Bombyx mori: one gene and its partners. The protein of the gene in region 3 interacts with the protein of the main gene of each other region in a pairwise test. Links are inferred from orthologs where the notes say so. Each region holds a gene or a part of one and is shown on either strand. Other genes may lie near its edges.

The links.
Region 1: the proteins of Ef-1g (region 3) and Golgi to ER traffic protein 4 homolog interact in a two-hybrid assay, tested with the Homo sapiens proteins (2 studies listed by BioGRID and IntAct, with this or other methods). The link is inferred for Bombyx mori from reciprocal best matches to the Homo sapiens genes EEF1G and GET4.
Region 2: the proteins of Ef-1g (region 3) and delta(3,5)-Delta(2,4)-dienoyl-CoA isomerase, mitochondrial interact in a two-hybrid assay, tested with the Homo sapiens proteins (2 studies listed by BioGRID and IntAct). The link is inferred for Bombyx mori from reciprocal best matches to the Homo sapiens genes EEF1G and ECH1.

What each region holds. Positions count from the first base shown.
Region 1 is NC_085123.1:7,280,422-7,290,505, forward strand, and holds Golgi to ER traffic protein 4 homolog, read left to right. Parts: upstream 1-734; 5' UTR 735-869; coding exon 870-982; intron 983-1,064; coding exon 1,065-1,347; intron 1,348-3,618; coding exon 3,619-3,929; intron 3,930-5,226; coding exon 5,227-5,470; 3' UTR 5,471-5,961; downstream 5,962-10,084. Other genes in the region: uncharacterized protein LOC105841590, read left to right, coding at 8,965-9,042. UniProt on the Homo sapiens protein: As part of a cytosolic protein quality control complex, the BAG6/BAT3 complex, maintains misfolded and hydrophobic patches-containing proteins in a soluble state and participates in their proper delivery to the endoplasmic reticulum or alternatively can promote their sorting to the proteasome where they undergo degradation.
Region 2 is NC_085130.1:2,358,030-2,368,886, reverse strand, and holds the end of delta(3,5)-Delta(2,4)-dienoyl-CoA isomerase, mitochondrial, read right to left. Parts: intron 10,585-10,857; coding exon 10,481-10,584; intron 9,839-10,480; coding exon 9,735-9,838; intron 7,500-9,734; coding exon 7,412-7,499; intron 6,877-7,411; coding exon 6,764-6,876; intron 5,191-6,763; coding exon 5,064-5,190; intron 4,292-5,063; coding exon 4,193-4,291; 3' UTR 1,713-4,192; downstream 1-1,712. UniProt on the Homo sapiens protein: Isomerization of 3-trans,5-cis-dienoyl-CoA to 2-trans,4-trans-dienoyl-CoA.
Region 3 is NC_085124.1:12,663,029-12,674,358, reverse strand, and holds Ef-1g (elongation factor 1 gamma), read left to right. Parts: upstream 1-5,270; coding exon 5,271-5,282; intron 5,283-5,395; coding exon 5,396-5,545; intron 5,546-5,629; coding exon 5,630-5,696; intron 5,697-6,116; coding exon 6,117-6,259; intron 6,260-6,742; coding exon 6,743-6,883; intron 6,884-7,432; coding exon 7,433-7,606; intron 7,607-8,169; coding exon 8,170-8,303; intron 8,304-8,825; coding exon 8,826-8,995; intron 8,996-9,256; coding exon 9,257-9,399; intron 9,400-10,307; coding exon 10,308-10,445; 3' UTR 10,446-10,758; downstream 10,759-11,330. Other genes in the region: Cnb (calcineurin B), read right to left, coding at 2,853-2,888, 3,139-3,178, 3,705-3,707. UniProt on the Homo sapiens protein: Probably plays a role in anchoring the complex to other cellular components.

The DNA of each region.
Region 1 (10,084 bases), on a different chromosome or scaffold from region 3:
GAGTCTCCACCACCGCAAAAAAAAAATGCGTTCTACTGACAAATTAAAATTAAAAAAAATACAAGACAAATCACATGGTATGCTATAAAATTTTTTAAACATTCATTAAAGGGAACAGGCTCGGAGTACTTATATGGACTGATTCTACTATTCCAAAGCTCAAATTATCTTGCCGGCAGCGGGACCTGACAGAGTGCGCTTTTTGAGCTGCAGTCGGGCTAGGGATCTCACCCGAATCCTGGCCTCCAACGTGTTTCGGGCCCCCTTTGTACGCTGGCTTAAAGACCGGTAAAGTAAAGAGCAACTAGGAGACGGCTCTCCTGGCCCACTTTAGTTTTAGCCTAGCCACACTAGCCTTATTTGGTATCTTGGGAGTACGAGTTGGGGATGCTGTCTAGGTGAGCTTCGAACAATTCACTGAAAGAGAGGCTTGGCGATCATGGAACCGCTTCAACGCCAACTGGGGTACGTACTTACGCGTACAAAATATTTCTATGATGAAATAATCTTTTCAGATACGGAATAAAAACAAAACCATCAAAACTTTATAATTTCACATGGTTCCTTGAGTTCTTAAAAAACCATTGTATTCGAAGAAAATGTAAATTAATTGACCGGTTAATTAAGTTAATTTATTCCACCTTTCACTCAATAAATAGAAAATACTTGGCTGAATAGGCTGTTCTCTTTTTACCTCGCATTTTTCGCTCAATCCAAACAAAAAATAACTTGACAGTAGTGTGAGTGACAGTACCATAGATTATACACTTAATATGACAGTACCATTGTCATCTATTTTATTGGTAAATTGGTTGTGATCACGAAATCGGAAGAAAACAGAATAATCTGGAAATTGTAATAAAAATATCATGGCCACGCGTGGAGAAAGAGGAGTTGTTAGGGTATTAGATAAGTTAGAAGCTTCAATTAATTCTGGCCAGTATTATGAAGCACATCAAATGTACAGAACTCTTTATTTTAGGTACCTATAATGTAAATCTGCAATATATATTTTTAATGGTGTTTTATAGTAATTTTTCAAAAGATTTCATATTTTATTCCAGATACCTAACTCAGAAAAAATATCCAGAATTGTTAACTTTATTGTACAAAGGGTCTACACTTCTTTTGGAACGCGATCAACAAGGAAGTGGAGCTGATCTCGCCATACTCTTCGTAGAAGTTTTAACAAAATCGGAAACCAAACCTAATGAAGAATGGGTCTCGAAATTGGCAAAATTATTTGAATTAATCAGCTCCAGTGTCCCAGAGCGAGAAACCTTTCTAACAAATTCAATAAAATGGTCAATGGATAACAACAAAAAAGGTGACCCACTCCTACACAAGGTACAGTACTAATTTGTAGAATAGTTCATTCTTAAATGATATTTTGACACTCTTATTCGAAAATATCATAGCCCATTTTTCTAATTAATATTTATGACAAATGAAATCAACTCGTAGGTAGTGTGTTTTTGTGTGTTTGTATACACTATGAAGCAATGGAACAGTGTTCATGGCTAAATCATACAGAGATAAATTTTTCAAGACTTCCAAGATGAATGAATAATATCTTATAATAAAAATCAAACCTGGAACACTTGCATAATTACTATTGGTAGGAAGTTAGATATCATAATTTTGCTTACTTTTGCTGTGAAACAGTCATGCATTCCAGTTTAAAAGGAGGAACAGCCATAAGATTGTTTATCAACCTTAGCAATAAAAATTGTTGCAATGCTGTTCATATTATTGATTAATATGAGGTTGAGGTTGGTTTGACAAGTTTCTGACCTTAACCATTTTCAATCATGAAAATAGCAGAACTCATCAAAAAATGCTTGTGAATGTAGTTAACTGTCTATCTTTTGGCCATTACTCACCAAAATTTCATCCATTTTGAACATGTTTTGTACTTGTTACTTAAGAGTTGTTGGAGTGAGTTGATGTAACACACTCACTTATTTATGAAAATGGAAAAAATAAGTATTGAGCTATCAGTTGGCAATTATAATCTATAGTTAAAACATACTCTGTACTGTTATGATTCAGCAATTTTTTACTTTGTATGGTTAACCATATGAAGACAAATAATCATAATAATGAAAATATTTGTTTAATGATAGTAAAGATCTAACACCAATATTTGATTTAGAAGTGCTAAAAGATATTGCAAAAGACAACTTTGATTATAATTCGGTCACTTCAAGTCATGGTTCTGAAATTATAATACCAAAGAGATCATTGATGAGATTTAGTGAAATCGAAAGCGAAGATTAGTTGGAAGACTTGATGAAGGGTGCAATGTCACAGAAGCATTTGATTTCTGGATAGAATACATGTTAGGGCATTGCCAAAGGTCACTGTGAAAATGTACCTGAGTTGCTGGTAAGAAGTGGTACAAAAAGTACAGAGCACTGTTGGTTAAAAGGCAATACACCTATGCCAAGATGAATTGGACTACGTGTATGGGAACTCTACACCATAATTAACTAATGAAATTTTGGGCCACTGAGTTTAAATGAATGATAATTGATTTCCATGAAAGCTTGGGACATGATGCACATTGGGGACATCCAAAAAGAGCAACTATTGACAATAACATCCCTAAAATCATCAAATGGTGCTAGACAACCCCTGAATTAAAGTGAGAGAACATAGATAGTAGAGGCTATGAAAATGTCCATATGTTTTGTTCATATGAATTAGTGATGAGAAAAATAGCTGTCTGCACGTTGAGTGTCATGTATGGTCACAAAAACAAAAAAACGTGTTTGAATGTTTCCAATTCTGTTGGTGCAGTTTAGGTTTAGCAATAAATCAGAGTTTTGGTGCCAATTAATTTACTATAGATGAAACATGGATATACCATTATACATCCGAAAAACAGTGGACTGCAAAGGGGGAACCAGCTAAAAAAAAGTAAAAATTATTTTTTCCGTTGGGAAAGTGATGGTGACCGTTTTTTGGGATAGTCATAGAGTTATCTTAATCAATTTCATTAAAAAATTAAAACCATTACAGGAGCGTACTACGCATCAATACTTGACAAATAAAAAATAAAAAAAATGGTCATTTGTGCAGAAAAAGAAAATCCTATGGTGAAGACAACATGCCGTCTCAGACCTCCGTGGTTACCATAGCAAAAATCCACGAATTGCACTTTGAACTGCTGACCATCCTTATCTTGACTTTACTCAGCAAATCTAGCTCCAAGTTACTTCTTTTTGTTTCCTCATCAAAAAATTGCGCTCGGAGGACAGTTTTTTGTTATAATTATGTGGAGACAATTAATTACCTTCATGAATAATTATTTTATAGAGAAAAACGGCGTCTATTGTTTGGAAAGGATAGAGATATGCGAGCATCATTGGATGAAGAATTACAAGGCGACTTGTTGAGGCGAATATGAAAAAAAATAAAAACAAACATAAAAAAAGTCTTGTATCTGTGTTAGGTCGGAAAGTTTTCAGACCCCACTCATAAAAAACCTAAACCTTTGAATTTGTTAAAAGTGTTTATATATTTATTAGTCTAGAAAAATATTATGTGTTTATGAATTGCTAAAGATCATAGAATTAATTTTAACTAACGGACGCAAATTGTAATTGATTTTAGAAAATAGCAGAAGTATTTTGGAAGGAAAAAAAGTACACAGCTGCTCATAGACACTTTTTACACTCATCGGATGGTTCAGCATATGCTAACATGCTTATAGAGTTACACACAACTAAAGGTCTCAAATCAGAAATAGATTTGTTCATAGCACAAGCTGTGTTGCAAATACTTTGTTTGAGAAATGTAAGAATGGCAACTGAAACATTTTTGAGGTATACAGAAACACATCCCAAAATTAAGAATAGCAAAGGACCTCCATATATATTCCCACTATTGAATTTTTTGTGGTTCTTGCTGAGAGCTGTCGAACAGTAAGTTAATTTTCTTTTTATGTCATCCATAAACAGAATCTTATACATTGTGCTTAGTACGAGTTTTTTAACGTTCCCCATAGCGTAAAAGCTAACTCAAATTTGTATGGAATTGGAGCGTTTGCCTATATTTGCCGCTAGGGGCGCTGTTCCAACTGCATACAAATTTGAGTTAACTTTTACGCTATCGAGACGGTAAAAAACTTGCACTAAGCACACTGATATATGTAAGATAACTATTTCTGAAAACTTTTTGACTAAATAGAAATTTAATTATGATTTTGCACAGGAACGTAAAGTAAAAGTAAAAATCATATTATAATGCATGATGTCTATGTTTATGAATTCTGCGGGGGTTTCCACCATCTGCCTTTCCTTCTGATTGCAGGTTTATCACCTAGTATTATGTAAAAAAACGATTAGGGGGCGTCCATTAATTACGTGAGGTGTTCTAGGGGAGATGGGATCAAACTAAATCTCAATTAGGATGGAGGAGGGGGTCTTAGCGAATATCTCACTTTTTAGCAGAAAACGGTGTAAAATTGCCTGAACAATTATTTTTAGAATAAAATATGGCCAAATCAGACACCGATTTTTTTCTACCTGACACAATAGCGTTTCTCGTATTCGTCAGAACCTCACAGAGCAGGAAAGTACCGCTCGATTGTGCACTGTCGACCAGCTGTATTGACACGTGCGACTCGACGAACGCTATTTAATTTTATGATTGTTATGTTAAATTACGGTAATATTCACAAATGCTAGTCTTTGTTAGTCTTCAATGAAAGTAATAGAACAAGTAGCTATTTTTTTTCTCAATCCTATACATTTACAGCCAAAACATAAGTTTTGAAGAATCTCGTGTAAGATTAGGGGTGAGGGGAGGGAGTGGAGGAAAATCTTATGAAGTCTCACCAAGGTGGGAGGGAGGGTCGAAAGATTCACAAAACTACCTCACGTGATTAATGGACGTCCCTTTAGTAATATAGGTAGGCTATATAAAATAGTAATAATTTTATATCTATTACATTACAAAATAGCACAATTCAATTCATTTATTTGCAGATAACCTTAAAAATTAAATAATAAATCCAAGAATTCTTTGTTCACGATAGATCTTATAAAATTATATCTTGAAACAAAAAAATGATTTTATCGTGGTAAACAATTTTTTTGAAGAATTTGGTGAATTTCATAATATATTTAGCCAGTCAAAATAGCAAAATACGACTAGAAATATTAAGTATTTTAAGTTAAATAATCAATACAGTTTTTTTTAATATGTATTTAATTTCAGGAGACATGTACGACAGTTTATGGTACTAAAGAATTGGTATGCAATTAGCATTAAAAGGGATCCAAACTACTCCATTTTTTTAGACAATATAGGCCGCATTTGGTTTGGAATAGAAATACCTTCGGAAAATAGAAATCCAAACTCTATGTTCGGAGGTCTAATAAAATCTATTATTGGTGATATAGATAGTTCTGATGATGATGGTGAAAGCAAGACGTCGGCCACAGCTCCTGATTTGGACTAAGCTCTTAATTAACAGATTAATTATATTATTTTTTTACTGACATATCAGCTCAGTCAACCTTTGATAATATATTTTTATTAATTTCTAATATAATTTTGTAATTTCATAAGAAAGCTCTTTTATATTATTTTAAACTTAACTTGGAATTATTACCATTGATTTAAGAAATGGACTGTGTTTGTCATTTTATTTTTAATTAAGATGCCAATTAATTTTAATATTAATGGGGAAATTTCATAATCATTTAAGAATTTTGGTTGAGCTGCAGTAATCATGTTAGGAATAAAAAGTTGTAAAGGGTATGAAAAAAATTAAAAGTTTTGTGGTGTACCTATGTCAAGAGTGCAGTAATGTTTTAGCAACATAATTAAATTTATGGTGAATATAATTACATGTTTAGGATTTCAAATTGTTTTTCATAACGTTGCTTTTTAATTAAGTAATATATTTTGAACAGTGTTGTAAAATTAAATTTTAGATGTTGTTATGAAGTTTTATTCACATTAATTGGAATTATATTTCACAAAGTACCCACATCTCCACAATCGATATAGGTAATGTTTACTCCTGATTATGTGGGTCCGTGAGAGAAGAGGTCTCTCTTCCTAGTGGTTTCCTTCCCTATCTCTTGCTAGGTGAAGGTAGATTCATAAGGGCCGAGTCACACCGGAATAGCAGCGTCCGACATCAGCTGGCGGCGATGCCAGCGGCCTCCGGCGTCGCCGCTGGCGGCCTCGCGCGGCCTCCAGACTGCATGCGCCTAGTCTCCTCTTGACTAGATTAGTTTCTTCATTCGGCAATGATCGTGTAATAAAAATGAAACCCGCAAAATTATAATTTGTGTAAATTACTGGTGGTAGGACCTCTTGTGAGCCCGCGCAGGTAAGTACCACCGCCCTGCCTATTTCTGCCGTGAAGCAGTAATGCGTTTCGGTTTGAAGGGTGGGGCAGCCATTGTAACTATATTTGAGACCTTAGAACTTATATCTCAAGGTGGGTGGCGCATTTAGGTTGTGGATGTCTATGGGGTCCAGTAACCACTTAACACCAGGTGGACTGCGAGCTCGTCCACCCATATAAACAATAAAAAAAAAAAAAACGTATGTTTAGAGTGAACATGATGGAATTGGTTATTATATATGACCGCGGTGCCGCGAGCGGCCTCGTGTCGCCGCTAGCAGCCGCGGGCAGAACCACAGACAAGACGGACGTGGCGCGCGGCTGTGTCGCGACCTTTTGGAGCTTTGCAAGCGATACTGGTCTTATAAGTATATATAGATAAAGTTGGATGGGTTGACCAACTCAAGGAGGTGACTGGAGGCCAGATATGGGGAGCAGTACATATGGCGCAGAACCGGACCGAGTGGAGAAGATTGACATACAGTCACGATCCTCAGCATTGAGGGAACGACCAGAAAGAAGATAAAGTTTAAAATTATTTCACACGGAAAGTGCTCGCCGCGACGTTGCCATTCCGGTGTGACTCGGCCCTAACACCGGTCACTCACATGCGAACGAATACGCAAACCCGCAAGTGTAGGACGACATTTGCAAATGATTATGCAAAGTTTTCGCTGCATTCGTGGTTTTCCAAGGTGTGTCGGTTTTTTAACAGACATTAAAGCGCGCGAACCGCGATCCTTCGCGTAGTCTCCTACACATTCGTTTGCCCAGTTGCGCCAACGATTGCGAAGGTAACGGACGTATCGCCATTTTCATAGTTCGTGACGTCTACTGTGTAGCGTAACTTCATCAAAAGAAATCCCATAAAAACAGCATGAGTGGAGCATGTGAGTGGCCGGCATAAAAGTCGCATGTGAGTGGCCGGCATAAAAGTCGATTAAAGACTTTCATGACTATCTCTGACTATAATGATAGTTGTGCATCATGTTTATGGTCGTCGAGGGTGGCCACATATATTATTCATTTAGAGTATTTTCATGCGTTAATGAGTATAGACTAATGCCGGCCTAGCGGCTGTGCAAATGGGTTCGCATACTCAATTTGCGAACCCGTTTGCGCTTCCTCCTACACTTGTTTACGAATGTCTCACGAATTTCTCCTTTTTAATTCGTCAATAGAACATTGAAGAGAAAAAGTTTTTAATTCTTTCCCAGACATCATTAACAGCCATGCTGTTTTTATGGGATTTCTTTTGATGAAGATACGCTACACAGTAGACGTCACGAACTATGAAAATGGCGTATAGTATACGTCCGTTACCTTCGCAATCGTCGGCGCAACTGGGCAAGCGAATGTGTGGGAGACTACGTGAAGGTTCGAGGTTCGCGCGCTTTGATGTCTGTTAAACCGACACAGCTTGGAAAACCACGAATGCAGCGAAAACTTTGCATAATCATTCGCAAATGTCGTCCTACACTTGTGGGTTGCGTATTCGTGCGCATGTGAGTGACCGGTGTAAGTATGGGTTTCCTTCCCTATCCTTTACTAGGTGAAGATAGATTCACAAAAGTCGATTGTAGACTTCCATGACTATCTCTGTCTATAATGATAGGTGTGCATCATGTTTGTGTTTGTCGACGATGGCAACATATATTATTCTTTTAGAGTATTTTCATGCGTTAATTTCCCAGAATATAGCACACATGGTAATTTTCTATCCGATCGTTGGTAGCCTAAGTGCCTATTCCAACTATGCGCGGGTTTTTTTAGGTGAGCTCATGGGGCTCAACCTGGGAGGACTTGCTAACACTAGCTCTAGCAAGAGTAGTACTAGTAGTAGTAGTAGTGCTTCACTGAATCTACCTCGCCAAGGTTTCAAACGATCCATGAAATCAAAAACTTTGAAAAAAAAAGAGCTGTCTTTTGTATACAGTCAACTGAAAGGTAGGTATTTAGGAGCCGCATCTCAAAGATGGGCGCAGAATTATTTTTCTAGTAACTCTGCTCTATTGCTGACTCAGCGGCTAGATGCTAATTTGATATCACTTTCAATGACTCCAGTAGGGGCGCCGCGAAATGCGAATATCATTACCAATCAGGATGCGTATGTGGTGCATACGGAAACGGCATCCAGCAGCATGGTCCGCAGTTGCATCACCACTTTCCCCCCATGTAAGGCCTTTAAAACATTTCACAGAATCGACTGAGTAGTTTCTATTACAGTGACTCCAACAGGATGCTAAGATACTGCCAAATACGTCCCAAACCTGATTCATATACTGACAAAAAATATAAAGGTAATTTTCAGGTTATGAAAAAAGTTATGAAAATTATTTATCAATTAAACAGCAGAACTCATGTGCACAATGGTTTATGGGATAGATCGAAATATAAAACAATTATTTACACCAAGTAAAATGGTTTACATATATACATTGTATATCACAGAAATATGTTTACATCTTGATATTTTTAGTACCCAGTAAGGTGCGTTGGGGTAAGTTCGGCGCTGGGGTAAGTACGTAGAAATCAAATTTTCAATCTATTCGACCATAATTTTTAATGCTCGCCACATTGCGTGCCACGCCGTTATGTTCCACCCCGTCCGCAGTGGCCGCCAATGGCTCCAACAAGTCGGACGTGTACTACGCGTACTTAGAGAAAACAAGGTAAATTTTATAAAATATTGTCTATCCGGTCTTTCACCTTCATTTTTATTTGCATATATTAGCAGAAATATGGCTCTTTTTGTTATATTTTTGCCTAAATACTAAGTTTTAATCAGTGATAGCCCGATAGAACTAATGCAGAAATATCTACTGTCTCTGTAGGCTGAAATCCGGTGTTTCCCTTCCCGAGTGAAGTACGGACAAAAGTATCCGGTCTTAACCCGTTTCGAAATCGGTAGTGATTGTCAAAGTTTTATTACATAATTTTTATTTTATTATACTTAATTGTTTTCGTATTTGCTTTAATATGGAGTTTATGTAAGATATATTATTGCAATAAAATGGGTACTTCAGGAGAAAGAAGACAAATGTACCTATATGTCACCGTATTAAATATCGTTGTATATAAAGGGTGTTTTTATAGAGGTACAGAACTTTAAAATGGAATAAAACAAAGATGAATTTTTAAATTGTCATGAAATTTACTTTATTTGAAAGATAATCTTTTGGCATTATAATTTACATATGACTTCTGGCATATGACCGCCACGGCTGTCTCGGACGTAGTCTAATCTGGAGGTCCAATCTTCGATTGAAGTACCTTGAGGATCGCCAGCTGATCAGTGACCGACAGTACGGTTTCCGTCATGGTCGCTCAGCTGGCGATCTTCTTGTATACCTTACACACAGGTGGGCTGAAGCCTTGGAGAGCAAGGGCGAGGCTCTCGCTGTAAGCCTTGATATCGCGAAGGCCTTCGACAGGGTCTGGCATAGGGCACTTCTGTCGAAGTTACCATCTTACGTTATCCCTGAGGGACTCTGCAAGTGCATCGCTAGCTTTTAAGATGGGCGGAGCATCACTGTCGTTGTAGACGGTTGCTGTTCCGATACCATTTCCATTAACGCTGGCGTTCCACAAGGTTCGGTGCTCTCCCCCACGCTTTTCATCCTGTATATCAATGACATGCTGTCTATTGATGGCATGCATTGCTATGCGGATGACAGCACGGGGGATGCGCGATATATCAGCCATCAGAGTCTC
Region 2 (10,857 bases), on a different chromosome or scaffold from region 3:
TAATGTTAGTAACAGTGGTTTCTTGAATAGTAAGAATGTAGTAAGAAAAGAAAGGAACAGCATACATTTATTTATTATTACTGGTGGTAGGACCTCTTTTGAGTCCGTACGGGTAGGTACCACCACCCTGCATATTTCTGCCGTGAAGCAGTAATGCGTTTTGGTTCGAAGGGTGGGGCAACCGTTGTAACTATACCGAGACCTTAGAACTTATACCTCAAGGTGGGTGGCGCATTTAAGTTGTAGACGTCTATGGGCTCCAGTAACCACTTAACAACCATGTGGGCTGTGAGCTCGTCCACCCATCTAAGCAATAAAAAAATACATTGCAATTTCAACAGTTGACCATTACGAGCAAAATTTGTGGTCTTCTCTATAATTATTGAGAAAAGGTCTATCTTATATCGAAAATATGGCCAGGACGCTGTTGGAGCAAGCCCCCTACCCTGGAGAGCAAGGACGGGCATCGTTTTCTTATTATTGCATAGAAATCGTCTGTATGCGCCTCCGCAAGCTTGCACGATGCGGTGGGGAATCGAAGCAGCCCCATCAGTGTATTTAGTGCTAGTTTTTTTAACGCTTTTGACAGCGTTTTTTTTCCTACCTAACCTGATTGCCTTGAGAGGCTATTTCAGCGTAATCTGAACTAGTAGGTGAGCTCACGGGGCTCAAACCTGACGACGTTGCTAACACTGGCCCTAAAAAGAGCAGTGCTTCGCAGAATCTACCACCGGATCGGAACTGCGACCCTCTGAGAAGATCCGGCTCTCAGTGGGCTGTGTCTATGGGTTAATTTACTCGTCGAGCCCTTCGTCGCAAACGACGGGTTCGACGAGAACGATGACCGGTGCTTGAGTTACCTAAAAGCACCGTTAGTGGATCGGGAGGATCCGAAATAAGGTGTTTTGGGCGACGTCGACTGCTTTCAATTCTGTCCGCAGGATCGGGAATGTTTGATAGCGTAAAAGTTAACTCAAATTTGAATGCAGTTGGAACAGCGCCTCTGGTGGCTAACGTAGGCAAACTTTTGAACTCCATACAAATTTGTTTTAACGTTTACGCGATCGAGAACGTTAAAAAACTCGCACTCGTGAGCTCCCCTACCCGTCTGGGCGTAGCTGTATTAGGCTGTTAACTGTTACTGGTGGTAATATAAATAATATAATATATAAATATTTACTAACAATCACGCCACGTTAACTGGTCCCGTGCTAAGTTCGTAAAGAACTTGTGTTACAAGTACCAGATAACGGAAATAAATATAATATTTTTATTATACACATACATATATTTTAATATACACCCATAACCCTGGAAAGACATTTATATTTATCATACAAATATCTTCCCTTGGCGGGATTCGAACCCGCGACCCCCTTGTGTAGTGACCATGTCACTTACCACTACACCAGACGGCCGTGGTAGGACCTCTTGTGAGTCCGCATGGGTAGGTACCACCACCCCGCTTATTTCTGCCGTGAAGCAGTAATGCGTTTCGGTCTGAAGGGTGGGGCAGCCGTTGTAACTGTACTTGAGAACTTAGAACTTATATCTCAAGGTGGGTGGCGCATTTACGTTTTGGATGTCTATGGGCTCCAGTAACCACTTACACCAGGTGGGCTGTGAGCTCGTCCACCTATCTAAGCAGTAAAAAAAAAGGCTACCAACGAAGAAAAAAAAACGGGTTTTTTTAACACTAGAAAATAAAATAATTGTTTTTTTTTAATAACCATTTAATTTCATAACAGCTTAATAAAACATATCTAAAATTAAATATGACAGAGGTTATAAATAATTAATACCCAAAAATACTTATGATCATACAATATTAAGGGAATAACCGAAATTTTACTGCTTATTTTCTATGATGATTAACACGTAATGAAATATTGTTCAGTTTCTGAACGTCAAAATGACAGCGAGCGACTTCCGCCATGACACCAAATCCTCTTACAAATCCAGCCGCCAAAAGTAACGCGTCAATTTTATAATTCTCATATATTAAGTCGTTAATTTGTAAATATAAAGGTTTAATAAATATTTCATACAAAAAATACAGTCCACGCTTAATCAAAATAACGCAACAAATACATACAGGCATAGTTGAGACATTTCATTTAGAAAAATTGCTCTCCATTTTGTACTGGCTTCTAGTCTCATATAAAATGAGTTTCAATTAAGAATGTGCATGGATTTGCGCCATATTGTGACGTCATAACTGTCAAATCGAAAAAAATAGGTAAAGTCGGTAAAAAAAGTAGGAATTTTTAAATATTTATTTATAATCCAAATTTTCGCGTTTGCCGATTCCACTCATCCCACTGCTTGAATAATCATCATCATCGTCGCATTATACTATAATCATTATAGGGTCCGGCAGTGTTGCAGCGTTGTTTTTTAAATAGGTGGTAGTTTTTTTTATATAATCTATATTCATGTTTAATTTACCTCGACCAGTACTCAACATTTCAAGCAAATTATATAGATCTGTATGATTCATTAAGCAAACATATTAATAGTCTTCATAATAAGGCATAAAATTCAATTAAAAAAAGAAGATAACATTTTTTTTGTTGCTATCCGTACTTTTTTATCGAACTTTGACAGATCAAGGTCATTGACGTGCACATTCTTATTTGAAAAGGACTATAACGCGGTTCCACACAACACGGGACTTGTTAGGAGCATACCTACCGCGCTATAGGAGGGTATATATCTATATATTAATACGTGAAGCAAAAACTTTGTATCCCTTTTTACGAAAATTGCGCGGACAGAGTATGAAATTTTCCACACTTATAGAGAATATAGAGAAGTGCGCAATGCTAATAATTTTTTTAAATAATGCATAAAAGATACATTAAATCAATAAGGAAAACATTACACACACTACATACCATGTATTTGACGCACACACGCATGCATACTATTTATTGTCAAACTTTTGTTCTTGACGTCTGTTGTCAAATTGAGATTAAATATTGTTTGTCTTTGTTAATATTTTTTATAGTGTAGTCTTGGCGAAATTTGTGATTATAGAAGTATAAAATACTAGCGACCCGCCCTCGCTTCGCTTCGGAAACATTAAAACACACATGAAACCAAAAAATAAAAAATAAAAATAAAATAAAAAAAAGTAGCCTATGTTCATCAGGGACAATGTCGGCTTCTAATGGAAAAAGAATTTTTCAAATCGGTCCAGTAGTTTCGGAGCCTATTCGAAACAAACAAACAAACAAATCTTTCCTCTTTATAATATTAGTATAGACAACCAATAGTACTAACAAATCATCCTAAAAGTATATTATAAGGCACGATAAATATTTCTTCAATAACACATTTTACCCTTACACTATTAATCACTTATTAGTAAAAAATTAAATCGTTACCTTTGTCTGTTTAGTTCTTATGAAATAACTGTTTTTTTTTTACAGCGCCTTCAAAGATGTATAGGATCGTATATTTTATATATTATATATACAATATCTAATTGTCATTTGTAAAATGGAAGAATTCGATTGAGTGAAATACTTCGACACGATATCGTTTATGGGACGCTAAGCAATCTTAATCCTTTGCCTGTCGTGTAGGTCACCGGTGCCCTACGCGGCGCACTGAAGTATCTATATCGATTTATCTCTTCAACTTCTTACTAAGGCGCTGGAATATCTAGTAGACTCCGGGAAAGACGAATCCGAGAGATACTGAGAATGAATCTATTTGTAAGAGGACTAAAACATATATTAACAAACAAAAGAATTACTTTAGTGCGCCGCGTAGGGCACAGGTGACCTTTTTTATATATTTATTGCTTAATTAGTTGAACGAGCTCACAGCCCACCTGGTGTTAAGTGGTTACCAGAGCCCATAAACATGTAAAACGTAAATGCGCCACCCATCTTGAAATATAAGTTCTAAGGTCTCAGTATAGTTACAACGGCTGCTCCACCCTTCAAACCGAAACGCATTACTGCTTCGCGGCAGAAATAGCCAGGGTGGTGGTACCCACCCGCGCGCACTCACAAGAGGTCCTACCACGAGTAATATATACCTCTTTTGGAACTCTACAAACTTCCCCTTGGATCCCAACAGATATCGACATAGTTACTTCAGTGCGCCGCGTAGGGCACCGGTGACCTACACGACAGGCAAAGGGTTTAAGATCCTTGAAGCCGTGGAGCATTGTTAGTGTCTACAGGTTCTCGTAGTCCGGCGGCGGGCTCTTCGTGGCCTGAGCGACGGCCGCTTTGGGTAGATCCTCGCCTTGATTCATCACGGAATTAAGCAAGCGCTGTGAAACGAAAATGATTTTTTTTTTGACAGACAGTTGGCACCCCTGACTGGTGCGTTACTGCTATGTTTCCGTTACTGGTTTTTAAAGCACAGGGAATTCTAGTTTGAGGTCGTGTGGCAGCTTATGAGAATTGTCTATGGCCATTTCAAAAAACTCAGATAATTATGTATGTTAAAAGAGTGCGTTAATCCACAATACTAAAGCATAGATTTTTCTTCTAAATTTTCAGTATGGCAGTCGTCTTGTTGCGATTCCAATATTGCCAGAGCTTAAAACACAATTAAGTGAATAGAGCGTATATGTTCGGTTCTGTTAACCGACTTATAAAATGAGGAGGCTCTGAATTCTACTATATTTTTTATGTGCGTTTTTTATATAGGTGAACTGATTCTAATAATTAATGTTTTATTTAAATTTTTATTTCACCAAGATCTAGTAGGTATGTAACGAATAGTTTTAGAGTTATCCTTAACGATGCATAATTGACTTCGACTGGAGTTGTTTTTTTTTGTAACGTTCACCCAATCAAAGGGTACACGGCTCATACAGCCAAGTTTCACTTTCATTATCAAATTCAAATTCAAAATCATTTATTTCAACTTGGATGTCATCAAAAACACACTTGTTGAATGTCAAAATGTAAAAGAAAATGTTAACTCTACCACCGGTTCCAAAAAAAGCCACAGTCCTGAGAAGAACCGGCGAAACAAACTCAGCGGGCTTTTTTTCGAAGCTTTTTATCGATTTACAACAGTTAATTCACACTTACAATATGCTCGAGGCCATCACTGTTTGGTCTGCTCTGCGAGTAGACGAGACTTTGTTTCGTCGTTTGAACTGCGACCGGACTTTTCGATGCGACGTCTTCGGCTACCTGCAGCGCGTGACTGAGGGCACTAAAATAATAACCACAGATTATACGAACTTTCGTTTCGATAAGGCGTTTTTTTTTTATATACGGACAAAATATACTACTGGTGAGAAAATATATTTTTTACCGGTGGTAGGACTTCTTCTGAGTCCGCACGGGTTGGTACTTCCTCCCTGCCTATTTCTACCGTGAAGTAGTAATGCGTTTCGGTTTGAAGGGTGGGGCAGCCGTTGTAACTATATTGAGATCTTAGAACTTATATCTCAAGGTGGATGGCGCATTTACGTAGTAGATGTCTATGGGCTCCAGTAACCACTTAACACCAGGTGGACTGTGAGCTCGTCTACCCATCTAAGCAATAAATAAATAAAAATACAATATCGCTTTAGTTAATTAAGCGCGACTTAGTAATCTGTTTTTTCTTTGGGATTTTATGACCTGGTAACTAAGACATTTAGGTATGTCTTATTTTAATTTATATTCGTATTTTTATGAAAAATGATAATATGGAGAGAAATGAAAAGAAGATGATTAATTTGAGACATTAATCAACTGGGATGAAATGAAATGAAATAAGATGATATGGGATGAAATAATATAATCTCAGTAAAATGGTGGTCATTTACTGAGATTTTTTCAGTGGACTTTTTGGAGGATCCCGCGAAGTTATGTCCAGCGGCTTTGTTTCATTTTCCCACATTTGTGCACTTTCACAGATAGTAAACAATTAATAAACCACCGTTAGTTATTACACATTTAAGCCTGAAGAAACACTAACTAGACAAAATAAAACAAATCACACAACTTCACTTCTCGCGTTCCCGCCAAAAAGTACTTAGTAATCTGTGTTTTAGAATCATAGACAATACATTTGATCTATGAGATTACAATAAATTCAAATGCGGTTTGGTGTTTAGCGGGAACCCTAGGAGTGATATGTTTTATTTTGTTAATTTTGGCCCCAAATTAGGATTCCCCTGTTTTATTGGTACCAGTGAGGGACATACGCACTTATATATTTTTAAATAAATACATATATAAACAATGAACACTGCGACAAATATTAAACAAATGTGTTCATCACACGAATGTTTGCCTGACGTGTGAATCGAACCCACGACCATCGACGTGACATTTATAGATCTCAATTGTTTACCAATATAATCGTATTAAAATAATTTATCCACTAACATAATTGACGTTACGTATAATTGATTTTTAAAATAACAGATTAATAATAATAATAATGTTTTTATTGCAAGTAACCATGACTCATATAAATTGTTAATAAGACTTAGACCTATGTTAGTAGTTATATTTACATCACAATGAATTACTGTCGTAACATCCCATGGGAGATGGCACCACAGCGACCCATGTATACACAGTCCAGCCTGCTTGCGATCATGCTCAGGATACTGTTGGAGCTGGCCCTCACTCTGCTTACCAGAGATACACACCTCTTACGCATGGTAGCGTAAAAACAATCTATGTGCGCGTCTGCAAACATCCCTGATGCGCTACAAAAGCGGGGCAGCACCACCAGCACCCTAAACGCGTTATTATGTATAAGCGTCCTTATTAAAAAAAGCACTTACGTGTCTTTATCGGGGAACACTTTACTGACGAAGCCTATTTCACTCGCTTCCCTGGCGTCGAACTTTCGGCCGGTGTAGCAAAGTTCTCGCGCTATCGACGTGTTGCCAATTACCTGAATGAAAATGTTACCGTGTTTAAAATTTTGTTCCGTCATCTATATATTATTAAGTGGTTAACTACGAAATAGCTGTTTAGTGTCTTCCTCCTTCCTCCTCGCGTCAATAATCCTCAATGCTAAGAGTCGTGGCCTCATGAGGCTTTCTTGGAAAACTTATCCGGGCATGGGACCGGTATTGGGATTGGCCGTTTAATGTAGAGAAAGTTTACTGGTGGAAGGACATCTTGTGAGTCCGCACGGGTAGGTACCACCACCCTGCCTATTTCTGCCGTGAAGCAGTAATGCGTTTCGGTTCGCAGACACTGAGACCTTAGAACTCATATCTCAAGGTGACGGCATTTACGTTATAGATGTCTATGGGCTCCGGTAACCACTTAACACCAGGTGGGCAGTGAGATCGTCCATCCACCTAAGAAATAAAAAAGTTCGGTTCATCTATAAGTGAATTTTTATAGTTTTTTTTAAAACTACCTTTATTATTATTTTTAGATCGTAATGAAGCTACTTGTATTTATCGAAGCTAATGTACCTTCGGGAGCCTTTGCAGGGTTCCAACATCGGCCGCCAAGCCAACATCCACTTCCTTGACTTGAAACCACGCGTCCTGGGAGCAATACCTGAAAATTCAAATCTATCTAATATATAAAATTCTCGTGTCACAGTTTTCGTTGCCATACTCCTCCGAAACGGCTTGACCGATTTTGATGAAATTTTTTGTGCTTATCCGGTATCTATGAGAATCGGCCAACATCTATTTTTCATCCCCCTAAATGTTAGGGGTAGCCCACCCCTAAATTTTATTTTTTATTTTTTAGACAAAATTTTTAATTTCTGTTTTTTTATGATACAGCATACAAAAATACATACAACCCTAAATTTTCATCCCTCTACGATCAACCCTTATTTTTTATTTGCTAATTAAAAACTTTAAATTTTTTTTGCGAGAATTTTGTTTTTATTTTGTCATGGCGTAGAATAAAAAAATTAATATTACTCTGAAATTTTCACCCCTCTACGATCAACCCCTATTTTTTATTTGTTAATTATAAACTTTAATTTTTTTGGCAAGTCTTTATTTTGTTTTGTCATGACTTAAAATAAAAAAAATCATATTACTCTCAATTTTCACTCTTATACGATCAACCCCTATTTTTCCATCCCGATTAATATTTTTTTTATTCTATGCACAGATCCGCAATAAGGTTGCAAGATGGCAATCAAATATTATAATTGTAGTACGATAAATTCTTATTCAGAGTTTATAATTTCAAGTTCCTTTAATTATGATTTTTTTTAAATTGAATTTGATCTCCCGCCCTCGCCGGTCCACTTCTGATCAACTATCAATCGATCAGCTATCCCCGCCAGGTGTCACCACTCATCCAGCAAACATCACGTAGTAGGGATGAGGACGAAGCCGGTCTCCTCTTACTTACTCACTATACATCATAGATTATCATTAGAGCTATACAATACTATACCTTTTTCAGCCATGTTTTTTTGATTTTATTTGTGTATCAATAGTATGTTAATAGGTCTGAGAATCGGCTACTATCTATTTTTCATACCCCTAAGTGAAAGGGGTTGTCCACCCCAAACATTTATTTTTTATTTTAATTTTTTGGATATATATTTTTTGTTTATAATGAGGTATTATGTTGTTAAATGAGGATTTTTTTCTACAGTAGAATTACCCTAGAAATCTTATTTAAGGCAACACAACGTTTGCCGGGTCAGCTAGTACTAATATATAAATCTACAGTGGTTTTTACGGATGTTCCGTTGTAACTACTGAACCATGCATCCGATTGACTTGAAACTTGGTATCCATGTAGATAATACATACATACATACATACATGTACTTAATGGATAGGCAAATATTTATATGAGTGTTGGACTCTCATTAAGTTATTCCCATTATTTATTGTTATTAAATAATGACAATAAATAATAATGTACGTGAAGCAAAAATTATGAGATGAGATGATATGGAATGAAATATAATCTTAGTAAAATGGTGGTCATTTACTGAGATCTTTTCAGTAGACTTTTTGGAGGATCCCGGGATGTTACGTCCAGCGGCTTTGTTTAATTTTCCCACATTTGTGGACTTTCACAGATATTATTAATTGCTTAGAATCTGTGAAAGTGCACAAATGTGGGAAAATACAACAAAGCCGCTGAACGTTGCTTCTCGGGATCCTCCCAAATGTCCACCGAAAAAGTCTCTGTAAACGACCACCATTTTACTGAGATTATATTTCATCACATATCATTTCATTTGGAAATTTAATTCGTTTTAATAATTTATGTAATGTCGCGATTAGTTTTCTTCGTTTATTAAATTGTGAATAATTAAAACGGCGAATTATAAAAATCTTATTACTTGACGCTGGCTAATGCACAAACCGTGCCGGAGCCAAAAAATAAAGGAAAGATAACCGTTACCCTCGCCCGGTTACGCTGATTTTTTTTTTCTACTGATCTGAGAGCCTTGATGGGTTATTTCAGCGTAACTTTAACTAGTAGGTGAGCTCATGGGGCTCAAACCTGACGACGTTGCTAACACGAACCCTAGCAAGAGCCGTGCTTAGCAGAATCTACCACCGCATCAGAAACGCGACCCACTGAGAAGATCCGGCGAGAAACGCAGTGGGCTGTGTCTGTGGGTTAACTTACTCGTCGAGCCCTTCGTCGCAAGCGAAGGATTCGACGAGAACGGTGACCGGTGCTTGAGGTATCTGAAAGCACCGTTAGTGGATCGGGGGAATATTAGCAGCAGTGATGCTGGTGGACTGAGAAATGAAAATGCTATAAGCAAATAGGAAAATGTCTGCCCACTCCAAGTACCTGATGTCGCAGGCGGTGACCAGGTCTACTCCGGCGCCGATACAGGCGTTGTGCACCACGGTCAACACTGGTTTGACGCAATCCTCCAAAGCCGTGATTCCGTCCTGATATTGATCGATTTAAAAATTATTTTTTTTTAATTGCTTATCCTCGTGTACGATCTCACAGTCCACCTGGTGTTAAGTAGTTACTGGAGCCCATAGACTTCTACAACGTAAATGCGTCACCCATCTTGAGATATAAGTTCTAAGATCTCAGTACAGTTACAACAGCTGCCCCACCCTTCAAACCGAAACGCATTACTGCTTCATGGTAGAAATTGGCAGAGCGGTGGTACCTACCCGTGCGGACTCACAAGAGGTCCTACCACCAGTTTCTATGATGTTCTATGGGCTCGTATTCAAGGGTTACATTTGAGGGGGAAAGCAATACTGGGAGATCGTAAAAATGACTTTTTTATTGATACCTGATGCTAAGTGGTCACTGGAGCTGATAGACATGAACATCAACAAGATATGAGTTCTAAGGGTCAGTTTTTACAGTAAAAATAGACAGGGTGGTGGTACCCGTCTCTGAGGGATGACAAGATGACGAAGATCTGTTATGTTTTTTTTTGTCGTTGTAGACAGACGAACATACGGTAAGCCATGATAAGTAATCAGCATTGCTCATGGAGCAATCGCATGGGCATAACCAAACCGCTGCTAATCCCAAAACACCAGACAGTGCTGAATTGCAATACAAACCTGTGCGTATTTAATGAAGTTGTAATGGTATCTGGCCTTCCTGGCCACATCTGGAAGGTCCTCAGCCTCCGCCGCCATTTCCACGAGGCTGTTTATCTCTATACCTGTAAATGTATGGAAATAGTCGATATTAAAGTCGTCGTGGCCTATAGGATAAGACGACCGGTACATTTGTATGTAGCGATGTATCGGTGATCGAATCCCGCAGGCGGGTACCAATTTTTCCAATGAAATACGTACTCAACAAATGTTCACGATTGACTTCCACGGTGAAGGAATAACATCGTGTAATAAAAATGAAAACCGCAAAATTATAATTTGCGTAATTACTGGTGGACGTCTTGTGAGTTTGCACGGGTAGGTACCACCGCCCTTCC
Region 3 (11,330 bases):
ATGAGCTCACGAGGCTCGACCTGGAAGGACTTGCTAACATTAGCAAGGCTTAGCAAGGGCAGTGCTTCGCTGAATCTACCACCGGATCAGAATCGTGACCCACTTGGAGGATTCGGCGAGAAACTCAGTAGACATTCTATAGCCACAATCACTTTACCCGTAAAGGACTGCGCATACATCTCCATCCCCAGTAATAACATGACACGCAGAGTTTTCCTAAAAATTTAACTTCATCAGAGAATAATAAGATATGACAACAATAAGACAAGACATGGCTTCGGCCTTACGATCAAGAACAATGAAGACGCGGCTTCGGCCTTTAAAACTATAGACCTAGACTAAAGACCTGGCTATATGGACTAAAGTCCTTTGCCTTTCCCATTAGGGATAAATTAATATCATCATCATTTAACTTCATCAACAAACAATATTGAATCATTCTAGTCAACACTGTTTTAACAAATACATCAAGACAACTAACTACCCGCTTTTATCTTTTACCGATTTACATGAAATAATAAACCCGTACTTCTTAAACAAAATCATTCGAATTCAACCAGCACAAAGAAACATATACAACATTCAAAAAGAAGAGAGTTGTCTCATTCCTTATTCATTATACGTGTACCGAGAATGTACCTACTAAATAAATGATGATAATGTGGATATGTACATCAACATCACAACAAATAAATTATCTGATAATCCTACATGAAAAATTTAACCTTTCGATTTTGTACGTATAAGAAGTGTAGGACTTGTCCGATACGAGCATACTAACTGTCTTCTGCAAAGCCATTCCGGTTTGTAGATTAGGATAGGATAGCCGATAGGATGAGATTTCAATGTAACTGATACTTTATCTCGAGGTAGGAGGCAGTATTGATGTTGTGGAGCTTATGGCTAGTGTTCACCACTTCGAATTGTTCGTCTAATAATCCAATTTTTCATCGTTACTAAATTATTTATGACGTCTTTCTAACTATATACATTTTAAGGCTTTTGTTAGTTGCACATGTGTTTATATAACGCACCTTTATGTATTTCAAGGGTAGCCTTATTTTTGTAATATTCGAGTTATAAAATGTATCCAAAAGGGGTTAATTTGTATTTCAACAAAAAAAAAACATAATGATGATTGCAGCAAGCTAGCAATTGGGAACTCCGAGACCTTTAAACAATCGATAGAATATTAATCGTTAACCAAGTTTCCGACGATGTTATTCGATTCGTTTTTAATTAATATATCTCGTTCTAGTGACCATCGATACATCGACTCACCACGCAACTTCTGTTGTTTAAACGTCGGCAAATGCGCGACCATCGACTCGTATTTCAAAATCGATATGTTGTAATCATTATTGACCCTAACTCTATTCTAGAAGACCTCGAACAATCAGCATAATTTAACTACCAAAAGAATGGACTTGAACATTTGTTTATGCGAATCTATTTCCTTAATTGGAACTAGCTTTATCCTTACTGCATATATCAATAATGTAAAATTTCAAGCAATCTAGATGGGTTGGTTAGTGGTCTATTACGGCTGTTCTAATAAACTATACTGTTAGAACAATTAATTATTGAACAAACATTTCTATGTAACATGTGTTTACGAAAGAAGTTCATGATGCACCAGTAACATCCTATAGTGAAATTAAAACCCAAAAAGTATACAGGGTGTCCCACACTTGTTATAATCGTCTCTTCTAAATGCCAAAATTTAAATGAATTATATTTCATAATTTATACATACTATATTTAGGCTTCCTTCCTACATGTGCAGTAATGGTTTTCCTCAAACTAACCTCAATATTCAAATAAAATAAAAATATCAAAAATAACAGTTGCTATTATAAGCTTTGAGAAACTTGACCAATAAAGTATTTATTTAATAATAAAATAAGTTTTCACTGTATTTATATTACCTTTAAAATTTTAAGCTAATCTTTACTAATAATTACACACAGTTAAATATAAACCACCCTTTACTTAAGATGCTAATTTTATCTCAGCCTTTTAGGCAATTCATGGAGCACCCTATATATTTGAGTCATATTATGATGTGTTTTGGGCTATCAGACGTCAGATGCTTCTGATTTGCTTATTTCTGTAGTGAAGCAATGTTTAAAAACAGAACAGGCATTATTTCATTACATAGACCTCAAATGACCAGTGTCTCAAATTGGGCAGCACTATTAAAGTTGTAATGACAATGGTAACGACTTAACATTAGACAGGGCAAAATAATGTCTGCCCAGCTTAGCCATAATAAATCTATACACACAAAGCAACACCTAACATTCGGTACAAATTGCCCAAACAAAGGATAGTACCTGTAATGATACTTTTTAATATTGCTCTTTCACTATGCTTTGTTTGTTTGCAATTTCTTTTCTGTACCCTATGCCACATAAATACACGACATATAGATGTGACATGAATGCTTTAGCGGAATGCATGAATATTTATTTATCCAGAACAATTTTTTTTTACAGAATGAAGAGAAGCAGAAAGCAATAGTATTTTTATATATATGATATAAAGCACAGATGATATAGATACAGATATACATATATTGCACGATAGATATTTAGGAATGCAATTTATGTTATTATTTTAGTTTTAGTTTTTCAGGGCATTTTTTAGTCGCAATCGATTTCTATAACCATTTCAGTTTATTTTTATTGAATACATTTTATTTTACAATCATCTATTATAATAATTTTTCTGAACTATTTCTTTTTCATTTCATTATTGAAACGAACACCAAAAATTGTTCTGGAACAATAATGCGTGTGCAATCTAACATGGAGATGGATATTATACGCGAGTGACTCTACAACACTCACAGTTTTCCACCTTAAAATCAATGCAGTTAACACGCGCTGAAACACAAACTTTCTGTTATGTCTTATTTAAATGCCCTATTACCATTTAAACTAACCATTGTTAGAATTTTCATGCATTATCTATAGTTTTTAAACTGTGATATTTTTTAATACTTTTTTTATCTCTACAATTTTATTTTATTTTCTTTATAAAGTTGAAGAAATGCAACTGTTAAGCTATGATTATATATTGTATCATATTGAAATAAAAAACGTATAGAAGAAATTAATTTAATTTATTACTTACAGTTTGAACATAGTTCCATGGGAATAGAGTTTTCGTTACCCTGAAAATGGTTACACATTTTATAAATACTTTATTTATGATTAATATAATCAATAGCGTAATAGTAAAGTGTTTTTTGTTAGTTTAAGATTTTAAACTAGTTCAAAACTTTGTTTTTGTCATCAAATTTTAAGATTCAACTTTTATAGTTCACATCTAGACTATTAAGAATTAATATATATAATGTTACTGAATATTTTGGTAGTTTACCTTTTTAGTTAATTTGCAGATCAATGATAAAAAGAATAACAAAGGAAATGAAAATTTATTTACTACCCAGAATTTTAGTATTGTGACAACCCACTGCATTTTCCATAATAGAATTAAAAACTAATTTCGAAGTGCAAACCTTTTATTCTTGTATCAATTTTCGCAGTCAAGTAGATAACCATATGACTCTAAGGTCTAAATTAAAAAAATCATATCATATAGACCGGTTTTTTTTCCAGGCATTGGGCTAAACTCTTAAAAATTTGTGACTAGCTACAGAACGTTAATCGAGTAAATAACAATGTTTTGCCACTTACCATTCTAAAGTTTTACTACACCACACTCAATCAGAGATAAATGTGCGTCTGACTGTTTGTAATCACAAACTGATTCCGATAAAATTAAATCAGAAGCAACAAAAATACCACAGCAGATTCACAGTTACCTACCATCGATGACCATCGATCTAAATTACGCACGGATTGTATTGTTGCCATGAATTGTATGAAGCTGCTCAAGGGAGGACCATTAAAATGAATTAGGTCAATATTTCATAGGTTCAATAATCAATCCAAAAAGTTCATTAGAAGTAATACTAATATATAAATTCATTTCCGTATGTTTTAATTTTATGGGTCTCGATATATATTTAGTCTATTGTAAATTCGTTAATAATAGTCAGGAGAACGTGAGTAGCGCCACCTACCTTGAGATATATTGTTTTGTACAATTGTATCAGCTACCTATAAGAAATAAGTTAAAACTAAATTTAGAGCAGAACTATCTACACAAATCTGTATTAGTTCCAAATTCAAAAGCTAGATTAGGCTAGACTCTTGAGCTTCAACTATTTTCTTCTGTTCTGCAAAAAACATTAGTAATAGTGGTAAAACAACTACGATTGCATTAAAAGAATCAGTAGCAGTGAAATGTAAAAGTTAATACACGGTTAATGTTTCAAAAAAATCATGAAATATTCAGTTCCAATAAAGTTACTAATACTTAAAGTGTATAAGCTCGTCCATGATAGTATTAGACAAATAGCGTTTTTAATCATTTAAATTGTGATGTGGCCATATTACGAGGTTTAACAGAAAAGTTAGCTAATACTTTATTCGATAAACTACTTTAGTCCACTTAAAAGAAGAACACAGCAACATAAATCATTCAATTCTCCTAGCAAAAACTAATTGCAGAAGTTGACTTTGTTCTATAAAATCATTCATTTAATTGCTCGCTTAGGAAGAAGCTAACCCACAAAATGAGCCACTGATCAGCATGGATGACATAAGACGTGCTGCTAGCATCACACAAATAAACTTCGCAGGTCAGACGATATTAAATTGTTGTCAAATATTAATTTGTGCCCAAGACATGGCCATAATAAATGTGTTTCAATCCTTCACGTCAGCTTGAAGACTTTTGAAAGATACAAAGACAGCCAGACACAGACATTCTCATTCAGCGTTTTGTTACAATGATAAAGAGCTACACAAGACTATATTCTTTAACATACGGTGTTTCTGATCGAGTGATGTATAGACTAGCTGTACGGACCGTGAGAGAGAATTAATAATATAACGTCCCGTGGTATTGGTAGTTTCATTAGCCCGAAAATAAGGACCTAAACTACAGTATGTACAGTCACTTGGAAATAGGCTTTTGGTTGCAAGGCATTTCCAATATTAGTCTAATTCTAATCTAATTAAAGAAAGAAAAAGGGATTTTTTTAATAAACTAAAAAATTGATTAACAGATAACCGTGTGTATGCAATTTTCACTTAATTTCTATTTCAGCTGTCACAGAATGTCAATGTCAAAGGGCAAAATCCTCCCTCGCCAATATTTCCTCGGCCCCCCTTCTCTTTCCGAAAACTCCAACCATGGCGGCCGGGGTAGGTGTAATTTACCTTGAAATATCTTGTTAATCCAGTCATTGATAGAAAACTTATTAATAAAACCCAATGATAATGAAAGTATTAATAATATTACGCATTTATTTTTTCAGGTACTTTACACTTATCCGGAAAACTTCCGCGCTTATAAAGCGTTGATCGCCGCACAATATTCCGGGACTGATGTGAAAGTAGCACCGAATTTCGTATTTGGCGAGACCAACAAGTCCGAAGACTTCTTGAAGAAGTTTCCTGCCGGAAAAGTGAGTTTAAACCGGCGTATTGTGCATAGTAATATTTCGGCATATGTTGAGTGTTGTGACGTGTAATATCGGTGTATATTTTAGGTGCCTGCATTCGAAAGTGCCGATGGAAAGGTGCTTCTAACTGAAAGCAATGCCATCGCTTACTACGGTGAGTTTTTTTATTTTCAAATACACCTACAAAACTAACTTAAATAAATCTAACCTAACTAACTAGAAGAATACCTAATAAACCAAAGTTAAAAAAAGATAAGGTTGTAAATACCTCTTGCGAAGTTATTTCAAATAAATTTAACTATATAATTCGTCGATGGTACAAGTATGAAAGCGTTTTTCTACTTAATCTGATTTAAAAACTCATAAAATCGACGAATCATGACTTTTCCTTGATGAAACAATACTCATAATTTCCGTTAAATATAATTATAGAGGACACTCACAAATCACTAATAATATTTAATTATTGCATAATATTTTATAATCCCAATCATACACCCTTTCACTTCAAGTAGTATCAGAAGTTAAAAGAAAAATACAACATTTAACTTGAATTAAAAAAGGAACTTTACAGTTGCCAATGAAAGTCTCCGCGGAGGAGATCTGGCTACCCAAGCCCGTGTCTGGCAGTGGGCATCATGGTCTGACAGCGAACTACTGCCTGCTTCCTGCGCTTGGGTCTTCCCTTACCTTGGTATCATGCAATTCAACAAACAGGTAATTGAAGAATTTGTGATATTAAAATATATATGTGTTAGTCTACTGATATAAGTGATTACATAAAAATATATGAATATTATCATTATTCAGAATTAAACTTTTTTTTTGCTTAGATATATGGCTCACGGCCCTACCTGATGTTAAGTGGTTATCGGACCCCATAGATATCTACAACGTAAATGCTGCCACCCACCTTGAGACATGAGTTGTAAGGTCTCACTCTTAACTGTACAACGGTTGCCCTGCCTTTCAAACCGAAACTCATTACTGCTTCAGGGCAGAAATAGGCAGGGTGGTGGTACCTACTCGTGCAGACTCACAAGACTTCCTACCATCAATAAAAATTTAGTAATATTAAACATAGGATCTTGTACGTTTTCTCTAATTTATTATATTGTCATGGTGCTTAATAAGCTACTCAATATTACAATTATAAGCCACAAACTACTGGCAACTGATATAAGGATTAAATAATTCCAGAATGTTGAACGTGCAAAGTCTGACCTACTGGCCGCCTTAAAAGTACTGGACGGACATCTTCTCACACGCACCTTCCTTGTTACCGAGAGAATCACACTTGCCGATGTCATTGTCTTCAGTACACTGCTGCATGCTTTCCAGGTGAGGATAAGGAAGTTATCCTATGAACTACTGAAAACTTTCTTTTAAGATTTGAATTGATTTTCTTCACCACTTGGAGTAAGCACAGTTAATAAAGTGATACTTCAGAGAATCATTAAACAATACATTACTAAATACATAAAAGTGTTTGTAAAGCAAATAGGAGAACAATAAAAAAGCATAAGACTAAAAAAAGCAAATTGTTATCGAAAATTAAATAGTACCTTAATAATAATAATGAATTTTTTTTTTATTGCTTAGATGGGTGGACGAGCTCACAGCCCACCTGGTGTTAAGTGGTTACTTGAGCGTATAGACAACGTAAATGCGACACCCACCTTGAGATATAAGTTCTAAGGTCTCAAGTATAGCTACACAACGGCTGCCCCACCCTTCAACCCAAAACACATTACTGCTTCACGGCAGAAATAGGCGCGGTGGTGTTACCTACCCGCGCGGACTCACATGGTCCTCCCACCAGTTTTTCAAGAAAGCAAGTCACAATCGATTGGGTTTGAATAGAATGCCATAAAAGCTATTTTACTTCAGCACGTGCTAGACCCGAGCGTCCGTTCGTCGCTGATAAACGTTCAGCGTTGGTTCCTGACCGTCGCCCACCAGCCGCAAGTGTCGGCCGTCGTCGGCTCGCTCACGCTCTGTGCGGCTCCTCCTACATACGACCCTAAAAAGTACCAGGAGTTAGCTGGTGCACAGAACAAGAAGGTACTGTAACTGTTACAGTTTTTTTATCAAAAAATATAATTTAATTATGTTTGTTCAAATTTTAATAGTAATAAGAAAGCAATTATCGAATAAGAACAGCTAAACAGCATTACATATCGTCTTTCCGCATTAAAAGTGTACAATTTCCAAAAATATTCGAAATTGAGTTAATATGCGGAATCATTTGGTATCACCAGTATTTTTCTCAAAATACCGTCAAGAGATCGTAGTTTAGTTTAACTTTTTAGTTTACCTATGTTACTACTATTAATAAAATTAATACATAATTTTAGCTTGCCTTTAAAAGGCAGATAATGTAACTGCTAAAAAATAAAAAATAAATGTTGCAAAGATGATTAATATTAAAAATATCACATGTTAAACCTTAGTAATAACCATATAACCATAAAATTAGTAAGTTTTGAGATTATACAGTTTTATTACGGGAATGCTATGCCAAGGAAATTTTGTTACTTGCAATATATACCATTAAAAATATACTTTTGAATATAGATAGAAAAAAATGTTGCTTAAACTAAAACTTCCCAAAATTGAATTAATAGGAGGGCAAAAAAGATAAGAAGTGTGAAAAGAAAGAGCAACCCAAGAAGAAGGAGGAAGTTGTTCCTGACCTTGAAGAGGAGGAGCTTGAAAAGCCTAAGGAGTCCAAGGACCCCTTCGACTCTATGCCTAAAGGGTAAATAACTGTTATTCACTGAAATGAAAAACAATTCACAAACAAGCAAGCCCTGTTGTTTGATTGTTTAGTGAAAGTGCTTATATACCATGTGTTCTGGTTCATTTTCCAGACTGACCTTTTTTTCTGAAAGATATTTGGTATGTGCATGATCTGATTTTTTATGTATTTTTTGTACTTGAAAAAATCCCAGTTGTGGTTCTTTGAATGTTAAATGAAAGTTTTGGTTTAGTTGGTCATTCAAGAAGGAATCCGTAGTATATAATAAGGGTTTCGGTTAGCCATTAAAATAGTCAGTTCATGAAACTCACATATTGATTAGTATGTTTGCTTAGTCTTGTAATTCAGTTAATTAAAGAAATAAAAATAATAGTTGTGACTAAGAGGGAGGGAATCCCCTTCCAAAGTTTCTGAACGACACTAAAAATATTAATACAGTCAAGGTGTTAAAAATGATACCTTCATTAGAACAATTAACATTTAATAAAAGAGATATCAAACTTTGTTACATTTTTATTTCAGTACCTTCAACATGGATGATTTCAAGCGTGTCTACTCCAACGAAGACGAAGCTAAATCTATTCCTTACTTCTGGGAGAAGTTTGACCCCGAGAACTATTCCATTTGGTATGCTGAATACAAATACCCCGAGGAACTCGCTAAAGTGTTCATGAGCTGTAACCTTATTACGGGTAAGTTTTTTTTTTAATACTTATACAGGTGAATGAGCTCATTACTAGTGCATTTATGGAATAGACAGGATGGTACTACTGAATTGCATTGACACACCTCTCAGAATAATTTTATAAATTGTACGAGTTTTCTTTTATCATAGAATGTCCCTATTGATCATCAAGGGTCTATGAGGATAAAACAAGCAGAAATTGCATAGCAGCCCAGAACTTACAAGTGGACTTTTATGTTTTTACATATAATTTTCGTCTATTCACCAGGTATGTTCCAGAGGTTAGACAAAATGCGCAAACAGGCTTTCGCATCCGTCTGCCTGTTTGGTGAAGACAACAATTCCACCATCTCTGGAGTGTGGGTGTGGCGCGGAAAGGAGCTCGTGTTCCCGCTGTCGTCTGATTGGCAGGTTTGTATACAAATGACATAGTTGCAAAGTAGCATAAAAGCAACCGTGCTGACCGATACAATATATATATATATATATATATATAATGTACTAGCTGACCCTGCAAACTTCGTAGTGCCTGAACCGATATTATAAAAGACCTAAACTTCTGTATAAACTTAAAACAACAAAAGGAATCTGATGGACAGGGGACACATCAATGGAAAAATAAAATTGTTATTTTTGTTTAATTCCGAGCATTTGCATATTTATCTACTTTTTAAACCTTCTCTGGACTTTCACAAATAATTCAAGACCAAAATTAGCCAAATCTGTCCAGCTGTTCTTGAGTTTTAACGAGACTAACGAACAGCAATTCATTTAGTAGTGTAGTTTACCATTCTAAAAGCCAAAAAGTTAATAATATTCATAGGAAAACAAAATTGATTCACAAAACTTAGTTAATTGCTCTTTTAGTAAGTTTATATTTTGAGTGCAATATGTGTAATGATGAGGGGTATCTGATGAGAATTGCTGCCCTGACTAATGTTTAATGGTGTGTGTGTGCATGCAGGGTAGACAACAATAGTGCAGTTACAGTATTTTTCAACAGACATGGCTTTAGAAATAATGTCATTTGTGTGTATTGATTTTATATCGCCGGGCATTTAAAATTAACATTATTATATTCACCCCCACAAAGATTCTCATCTTAACGCCCCCACAACTGCTGTAGAGAATCCAACACTCATATAAATATTATCCTATCCATTAAGTACATGTATTTTCTACATGGATACCAAGTTTCAAGTCAATCGGATGCATGGTTTAGTAGTTATAACGGAACATCCGTAAAAACCACTGTAGATTTATATATTAGTATAGATAACAACCAATCTACAGAAACTAATGAAATAATCGTTTTACAGGTGGACTACGAGTCCTACGACTGGAAGAAACTGGATCCTTCGAGCGAGGAGACCAAGAAACTTGTCCAGGACTACTTCTCGTGGAACGGAACCGACAAAGACGGTAGAAAGTTCAACCAGGGCAAGATATTCAAGTGAATGCCGACCAACGTCCAGCCAATGTATACACATTTCATACAATAACTATAAAAAACTTTACAAAAAAGAAACATTCAAATGTAAATAGGTGGATGTTGGCAATTTTCGGAACTGTCCTCAATTTATACAATTTTTATTAAAACATCAGTAATAAATGATTTTCAATCGCCGTGTAGTGCAGTGCCGAAAACGACGCGGCGTTGCATGAAAAAATGATAATACTTGCATTTATTCAGTGTCGTTCCCGTGATCGATATCTCATCTCAACAAGTCAAATGTGTAATTAAACATGTTTTTTTTATTTATGAGTAAACGGTGGTTTTATTTCTCCTGCCTTAAAATTTATCCTTAGCTTTATTTGTTAGGAAAAGAAACGTGCCGTCCAGTAAGTGCGGAGTGTCGTGAACTGTACGCTTTATGTGTGACAAACAGCGCATTGGTTTTGTCTGTTTATTGGACAAATTGGAAATTGAAACATAAAGACAAAAAAAAATGTTTTTTGTTGTCTAGACAATACTGGGGCCAGTGCGACACGTCCTTTTTTTTTTTTCCTACCTTAGGTGAGCTCACGGGGCTCCAACCTGACGACGTTGCTAACACGAGCCCTAGCAAGATCCGTGCTTCGCAGAATCTACCACCGGATCGGCAACGCGACCCACTGAGAAGATCCGGCGAGAAACTCAGTGGGCTGTCTGAGAGTTAGTTTGCTCGTCGAGCCCTTCGTCGCAAGCGACGGGTCCGACGAGAACGGTGACCAGTGCTTGAAGTACGTAGAAGCACCGTTAGTGGATCGGGAGGATCCGCGATGACGTGTTTTGGGCGACGTCGACTGCTTTCCATTCTTTCTGCAGGATCGGGAATGCGACACGTGCTACTTCGTCGCGT